Oryzias latipes: one gene and its partner. The protein of the gene in region 2 interacts with the protein of the main gene of each other region in a pairwise test. Links are inferred from orthologs where the notes say so. Each region holds a gene or a part of one and is shown on either strand. Other genes may lie near its edges.

The links.
Region 1: the proteins of pex13 (region 2) and pex14 interact in a two-hybrid assay, tested with the Homo sapiens proteins (2 studies listed by BioGRID and IntAct, with this or other methods). The link is inferred for Oryzias latipes from reciprocal best matches to the Homo sapiens genes PEX13 and PEX14.

The regions. Positions count from the first base shown.
Region 1 is NC_019865.2:9,549,095-9,552,913, reverse strand, and holds part of pex14 (peroxisomal membrane protein PEX14), read right to left. Parts: intron 2,424-3,819; coding exon 2,298-2,423; intron 1-2,297. UniProt on the Homo sapiens protein: Component of the PEX13-PEX14 docking complex, a translocon channel that specifically mediates the import of peroxisomal cargo proteins bound to PEX5 receptor.
Region 2 is NC_019873.2:7,361,627-7,366,232, forward strand, and holds pex13 (peroxisome biogenesis factor 13), read left to right. Parts: upstream 1-1,498; 5' UTR 1,499-1,595; coding exon 1,596-1,669; intron 1,670-2,168; coding exon 2,169-2,893; intron 2,894-3,107; coding exon 3,108-3,230; intron 3,231-3,321; coding exon 3,322-3,668; 3' UTR 3,669-4,143; downstream 4,144-4,606. UniProt on the Homo sapiens protein: Component of the PEX13-PEX14 docking complex, a translocon channel that specifically mediates the import of peroxisomal cargo proteins bound to PEX5 receptor.

The DNA of each region.
Region 1 (3,819 bases), on a different chromosome or scaffold from region 2:
ATGAGTCCTACCCAGGTTTGAGCCTGCAACTCCTTATTTTAGTAAAACACTCTGATTTCCCTCTGTGTATAAGTAATACTGTCCAAATAAAACATCCTTATCTTTCCTCCAGACAGATAGTGTTATCAATAATTCCATTTAATAACCTACATTAGAGATCTCATAGTGCCTTACCAACCAAACAGAATGCTTCTTTCACAGTGGTTCCCAGAATTTGTAAAAGGTACAGTTGGAGGTAGAGCCTTTAACCACCACTAAGCTCCCAGCTCATGTAAGCGAAGCCGACACAGTTTTCTACATTCAAAGTTAGTCTTAAAAAATTCCTCTTTGGACAGGCTTATTGCCAGACTAGTAATCCGAGAATATTTAATATATTGCTCCCCCTACCTCACCTACTGTAAGAAAGTTTGGGGTAATATTTATAATGTTCATTACATCCATTACACATATTTCTTCCACAGATCCAAGCAGAGGGAAGATTGTTTCATAAACCGGGCCTGGGCAGCCCATTCCCCCTGCTTAGATTAATACTATATTGTATTAATATTGTTATGCTAAAAATGTAGATTTTCTATTATTGTCATTATTATTACCATCTGCTATATGTGCCATAATGCATGCAACTTACTACTAACATGTTTGAATCCCATTTCAATTTATTTGAATTTACAATAACAATTAGTTGCTAGTAGGCTGCTAGAAGTTAGAAGCTTGAGAAAGTATGGTGCACTGGGGTTCTGTCCTCTATTCTCATCTCCTTTTACTCTCTTCTATTCTTGATCATTTATTTAGCTCTTCATGCCTCTGTTTGGTACAGTGCGATTCATGTGTTGTTCCTCTTTCCCACTCCCCTTTGGGGGATCGCGAGTCTGTGCTCCTGTCCACCCCCCAAAGAAATGTCTACAGGAAATATGTATTTTTGAACTCTGCTGATGCCAGATTAAAAGGTTAACTTTTAACTTTAACTTGATGTGTTCAGGGGCTTGGAGTAAGTCAACGACATTGATCTAGAGCCCTTTACAACTTCTGATTTAACATGCAAATAAAATGAGAGACCCATTCATATTGGACTATGCAGCATCATTTCAAGGTGAATGCCGTTTTGGTTTTTCTTTCTTCAAGGGTATGTTTTACTGCTGGTGCAGCATTCACTGAACCTGTAACCTTTCCAGTCAAAATTTTGAATCACTCTCAGCATCCACATGATAACCACATAAATTTGCGTTTTCATCAAAACTGCAGCTGGGATAGACTGTCACCTATCCCAGAATACCATGCACCTGAAGGGCCTGGGAGTCCTTGGAATGGGTGGTTGACCCTGAACATGTCTTACTGCATCACCAGGGCTTTTCACTTGCTCTTTTACCCCTCCTCTCAGACCTTTCATTCTTCCACTATCTTTCCCCTTTTCTATACCAGTTCCACATTGCCATCTTCCTTTTTTTATTTGGTCACTTTTAACTGGTCTCCATCCCCCGTTTTTCCAATCTCCTCTCAAATTTATTGGGTTCAGTGGAGGCCTTCCTGTCCTTCTACTGTGTGGAAATAGAGATCAGAGTATCCATTATTGCGACAGAGATGGATGCGGGTCCCTGTGCACCGTACCCATAAGAAGGACATCAAAGGGAGGTAGCCCCCTCTTTCTGGCATGACCCCCCATACAAGACTCCCCGCTCTCACCTCATTATGCAGCTCCCTTATAGCCGTTTTGATATAAAACCCCCCACTATGGACAGAGAGCTGCAAGTCTTCCTAACTACATGGCCATCCCATCAACATCACTTTCATTACAAAACATGAGATGCTGAGGGAGTCAAGGACAGTGTGGTAATAAATGAGGGTGGAATACATCTGGAATCATTGTCATATGGGTTAAACATTACGCAGACTTCATTCTGCATTGGAAAATCAGTGGACAGCACTCACAACTTCCTGAAGTAATAAAGATACAGGTTTTGGTGTGGGATGTTACCAGTGTGGCACTCCAAGAAACTGCCTTTTTTAGCTTGTACTGTAGAATAGTCTCTGACTGAACTCAGAAAAACTAGCAAATCACGATACCAAGGCTGCATGAGATAGATCATAAGATTCAAAAACCTTTTGGTTTATCCCTTTAACAGTCCTACTTAACACAGATGGTAGGGAAGACCTCTCAAAGACCAGTGGAAATCAACTGCAACAAATGTAGTTAACAATTTCTATTCAATAGCTTTTTTTTAAATAAGAAAATGCACATGAACATCAAAAGTATTCACAGAACAAGTGTTTAGGGGGAAAAAAGAGCTGTGTGTACTCACTGGGTGGTGCAGGAGCAAGCAGAGTTGTATAGGGAGGATGTGGGAGCCCCACAGGATTCTGAGGAAGAACTTCCTCTGTGCTACCAGAGCGCTGGATGGCCAACTCGATCTCCTCATCAGTCAAGCCTGGAACCCACAAACAGACGTCTTACGCACATTCAAACCACGTGCAGTGTGTGATTATAAAGATGAAAATCTAAACGGCTCCTTACTTCAAATTAAGCAACTTTAAATACTTCCCTAGTTGCCAACCAATATTTTAAGTATAACTAATTCAATTTCACCAACTCACCACCCAAAAAAATGCGTTTTTCATTTCATAATTCAGAAACACCGCTGAGACTTTCAATGAAATCCATCAAAAGAGCAGAAAAGTTCATACAATGAAATCTGAGACTCTGCAAGCCTATTAACTGCCACCAAAGGCAAAGAAAATAAGGGTCTGTCCACTTCTCCAGTTATATTTCCCAAGTGGAGATTTCATACACCCCAGACAGCGAAAATGCATTATTTTAATTTCTTCATTGTAATGTAAATGTATTACATAATTTTGCAAATGCCAATATAATTTAATCTTCAGATCTTTTTAATGATTTTAGTGATGATTAAATTGCAAAGGGCTCCCTGATGGAGAATCAGAGGGGAGGAGAAAAAAAAACTAATAAGAACATCTCCTTTTGTGGCTAGAAAGGGTTTTTATTTCTGGGACCATATGCTTCCATTGCTGTAGGTCTTCTTTAATGAGTATCCTGGTTTTAAACAAAGAAAACAATAACAACTATGGCTCATCAACATAAAATACAATCAGTTTATTTAAAAATTGTTTAATTGAATAATATGCTCCTCAACCAAGTGAAGACCCTGTGGTTGAAGCAAACACTAACTAAAGCTTAACTGCAGGTGCTACTACAGCTACTTTCCACACATTTTTTCTCACCCTAAACCAAGTGTGGCAGATGTGCATATCAAAGTAAAAGCCTAAAGTCACGCAACACCTTTACCACTGCAAGTCCCTCATCTTTACAGAATATGTTCCTTAAGGGTACTTCTCAAACACGTCACTTAGAAAACCTCCTTTTTTATTCAACAATAGAAAAACCAATAATTCAGATTCTTTTCAGTTAAATCTTTTAAAATTAAGCTGGTCATACTTCCCCTCACCAATCTATATGGCTTAAAATATACATCGTCTTTGGCTTTAAGTTCCACTTTAACTACCCGTAATTACCGGGCTATAGAGCACACCTGATTACAAGCCTCACCCACTCAACTTAAGGAGGATTAACCACTTTTTACATACACAAGCCGCATTTGTATAAAAGCCTCATGTTATGGCAAATCAAATGATATGTCACTGATTACCTTGGCCCAAATACTGAGAGACAGCAGTAGTCTCAGAGAGGGAGGAGTAAATAGTAGTTTAGCCTATTTATTTGAACACACCCACATCTGCCAAACAGCATGGACCTCACTTCAGCTCACAGCTCCCTCAGTTATGGTGTGAAACTTCACATCCAGATTC
Region 2 (4,606 bases):
TAGAAATAGAGCTTCATTCAGCTTTATGTGCACATTTTTTCATGCATATCAGACAAGATAAAACATGTGAGTCTCACATTTGCTGCTGGCCGGTTGCTTCAAGGCTTACTCCTGATGTTTCTTCAGGTTATTGAGTCATGCAGCACAAACGATATTTTTATATATGATGTTTTACAGTCAGGAAGGGACTCTTGGTTTGCTTTGCTACCACTTTTCGATTGAGTGGTAACTCAAGTCCAAAACCAGGTCACAACAGAAAAAAGCTTTTACAAAGCTCTTGCAAAGCATCGCAGGCAATCCCACCAAACCACTTTGTATCAGGTATCTTCAGAACTCTGGCATCTTCTCACCAGATGACACTTAGGATTCCCACCTTAATCTAGCAAACCAAATACCATGATGCCACAGATGACGGAGTCGGCCTCACACGCCCACACTGTGGGGATGACACAGAGCTCGTCTCTGATAGAATGCGAATCGACAGCTCTGCACGCGCTCCCCCACATCTCCTGCCTTCACACTTGACATCACAGAGACTCCCTCTTGAAACCACAGCTCACTTTGCACACACTGAGGCTCTTCAGAGCAGCCTTTTTCACCACTCCCCATCTCAGCTAGGGTTGACTGACGTTGGTTAGTGGGGGGGCAAAGAACTGACATCAGATTTTCACTGTTCGTCCAATGAAATACATGCATGTAATAAAGATCTGGATGCAGTTTTAAGCTTTTGTGATCAATTTAAAGACATTAAACACTTGATATGTAAGCATCCCTTCATGGCAGTTAAAAAAAACATGAACAATATTGAAGTTACTTTTGTGGACTAAACATAAGTTTCATACTGAAACTCCTCTTTCAATTTGTTGTTTTTATTACTAAATAGATCAAATAAATATAATGAACATTTTGAATATTGTTTTAAATATATAAAAATGTATTAAAGTCATTACATCGTTCATAAATTATTTATTAATATACATTATTTTGAGGTTCAAAATTTATGAGAGAAGAGTAATTGATTTTGTCATTACCCATCACTTTTCTGTTGATTCTTTGCGCCCTCTGGTGGACAAAGGTAAAATGAGATTTTCGGTGGATTAAAATGATCAGACAGTACTAATCGAGTTGATTTCATCGATACGCCCATATTTTGAATAATTTAAATAATAAAAAGCAAAAATTGTTTTAAAAAAATCTCTATACAAATTGAATAACATAGTAAGATTCAGAAGTCCCGAAGTGTTTAGACCGGTTTGGATTGATTTGTGGTACGAATATCAACTAGTCTTGCCTGACTTGCTGTTTTCGATTGCTAAAGTGGTACCTTCAATATAAATTGGAAATTCCAAAACGATAAAAGTAAACTACCTAGTAAGCTAGTGTTTCATTTGTTGAAATAACCATTATTGATCAGCCAAAGTAAAACATGTTACATGAAAAGCCACAAAAAAGAGAATAGAAACATACAAAAATATTACAAATCAAATCCCTTAGAATAAAGAAAAAAACAAGGAGTTCAGGAAGGCAACACGGCAAGTCACAGGAGGACATCTGTCATCACAGATATTTTTTAGCTAACCATCACAAACTTCGCGATGGATTCACAGCCCCCACTCAAACCGTGGGAAAGGCGAATTCCTGGGGGTATGAGCGCACCTATAAACTACAGGTAAATGAGATTCAGGAAGTTATTTGTAGGGTTATTAGTTGTTGTTTCGAAGTTTTCCTAGGTAGCCTAATGCTAACGTTGCTAAAGGAGCTACTGCTAAACAATTACAGAACAGAACGAAACACCATATGAAACGCTGGTTAAAGCTATTACTGATTTATAATCAGGATAGTTGTATCTAAGGTACACTAGTTAATTTCAAATATGTTTAAAATTCGTCTAATTGTTTTTAGACTGTGTTTTTAGACTTGTTTTAGTACTTGTTGCTACTAGTTTGCATAGTAGCCAGGCCCCCGTAGTTGCCAGATATTTGTTGCATTGCCTTAATAAACGCAAAAGTTTTGCTATGAATTTTTTGAAAGATATTATCTTTCTGTTTGATTTTTTAATAGTAGCAGTTTTAAATCCATTAAGAACGAAAAAGCAGAAAGTCTTGTTATTTTGCTCAGATTTCTTGGTTGTCCTGCTGGTTTAGCTCCATCACTTTCTTTACACACAGATCGACAGACTTTGGACCAATTGCAGGCTCCTCCATTCCTGCTGGCCCTCCAGTTCTGACCAGAATGGCTCCTCCAGTGCCTGCTCGCCCGCTCCAGCAGTCATACCGCCCATCCTATTCCTCTTTCACCTCCTCTTACAGCCCCTATGGAAGCTCCATCTATGGGGGTTACAGCCCTTACAGCTATGGCGGCGGTTATGGCGGTGGCTTCGGTGGCAGCTATGGTCCGGGAGGGTACAGTCGTTTACCCCACACAGAAGAAATCGCCCCCAGCCGGTTTGTGCAGCAGGCAGAGGAGAGCAGCCGTGGAGCCTTCCAGTCCATTGAAAGCATCGTCCAGGCTTTTGCTTCGGTTAGCATGATGCTGGACGCCACCTTCTCCGCCGTGTACAACAGTTTTCGTGCCGTGCTGGACGTAGCCAATCACCTAACAAGGCTGCGTGCTCACCTCACTAGAGTTTTGTCAGCCTTCGCTCTGGTGCGCACGCTGCGGTATCTCTACCAGCGTTTGCTGCGGCTGCTGGGGAGGAGGTCAGATGTGGAGGACTTGTGGGCTGACAGCACAAGTGATGCTGTGGTGGCGGGTTCCTCCAGGGGATATGAGGCAGGAATGGATGAACAGAGCGTGAAGTCCTGGCCTATTTTCCTCTTTTTTGCTGTGGTTCTGGGTGGACCTTACCTCATCTGGAAGTTGTTGAGCTCCAGCCCCAGCTCTGATGAAAATAGTAAGGCTGGCATTGAATCCTTAATTTTATTGGTTTATTTTTCCGTTTGTTTGAAGAATTTACAACAGAAGATCATAAAAACACCAAACCAATGACCACAGTGTGGAGTTGTCGATTAAAGTATTATTCATTTAATAATACTATTCAATTATCTTGATGTAATCGTGTTTCTTCTACTTGATGTGCTCAATAGAAATGTTGTTGTTTTTTTCAGGTACAAACTGGGCCAGCGGGGAAGACGATCATGTCGTGGCTCGGGCTGAGTATGATTTCTCAGCAGCTTCTGAAGAAGAAATTCCTTTGCGGGCTGGAGACATGCTAAACCTGGCCCCTAAAGGTGAGACCTTCCTCAAATGTGTCGTGATTAATTAAAGTATTCCATAAAACTGCCTTTATTAACAATTGGTATATTTAAATTCTGGTTGCAGAGCAGCAACCGCGGGTGCGAGGCTGGTTGCTGGCCAGTGTGGATGGCCAGACAATTGGACTGGTCCCAGCTAACTATGTGAAAGTCCTTGGCAAGAGGAGAGGCCGCAAGCACGCGGAGATGGAACGGCTCGCTGAGGTCCAGGAGGAGAACCAGCGGGCCTCTCAAACACCAGCAGCTGCGCATGGTTCCACTTCAGATCTCTCCACAGCCTCCATGGCTCCCTCGACAGACCACCTACTAGAATCAGTATACAGAGAAATCCCAGCTGCCTTCGCTCTGGGAACATCCAACTCCAGCATGAGCTCTGACACAGTGTTGAATATCCCTGAAAAGACGGACCTGTGACGACTGTGTGTGCATGTGTTGCATTTACATCGTCTGTCAGTCAGTTCAAGTTTATCATTTCACTAATCAATTCTTCTGTAGGTCTTTGATTTCATTCATCAGCACAGTTTTCCTCTTAAAGTAAAATGGCTCAGAATCGTTTTTGTGTGAGATGATGTGTACTACATCGTCTTTGTGTTCTGTGAAGTCCAATTATGGGATGCATTGATGTATGTTAATGGGAAATGTAAAAGGGTTGTTGATGTCATGATATACATGTGAGGTTTCACCCTCAGGTGAAGCCGGGTGGACATCTGTAGGTTGTTGTTTTTTTTTGGATCAAGTGAAATTTGATTCACTCAGAAATAAGAAAGACTAGCTTTGCACATTTTAAAGTTTGTTAGTCCAATGTAATTTTGTAAATACTTAAAATAATTATTTTGAAAATAAATCTAATGGATTATTTTTTGCAGTATTAATCTGCAACCAAAAAAAAGCACGTCTTATTTTATTATTTGTGTCGAAAAATGTTGCGTGCGTGCGTGTGGAAATGACAGCTCTGTTTGATGTACGACAGAAATTTTGGATTTACGGTTTTCGTTTCCAGGCAACAGGACGCCCTTGGCTGCTGCAGTGCGACATCGGGGGCGACTCCGCAGAAGAAGCGGCCAGCTTTATGTTTCATTTATTTGCATTTATATCTATTCTATTTTTTTAAAACCACAATTTGCTCTTATATCGATATATTTTCCTTTTAAGTGTTTGTTTTTTCGTGTGTCTAAAAACCCCAATACGGCCCGTAAAAGCTGAATATTTATGCCAGCTTTTTTAGACTAATGCTGCATTCGCAGAACATCGGAAATACTACATTTTCAAAAGCCCACTCAAAGCTCAATATGGTCCTATCAATATGAAAATTAAATCCATATCGTATTGTTCTGTTAATACGGGCTTATAGC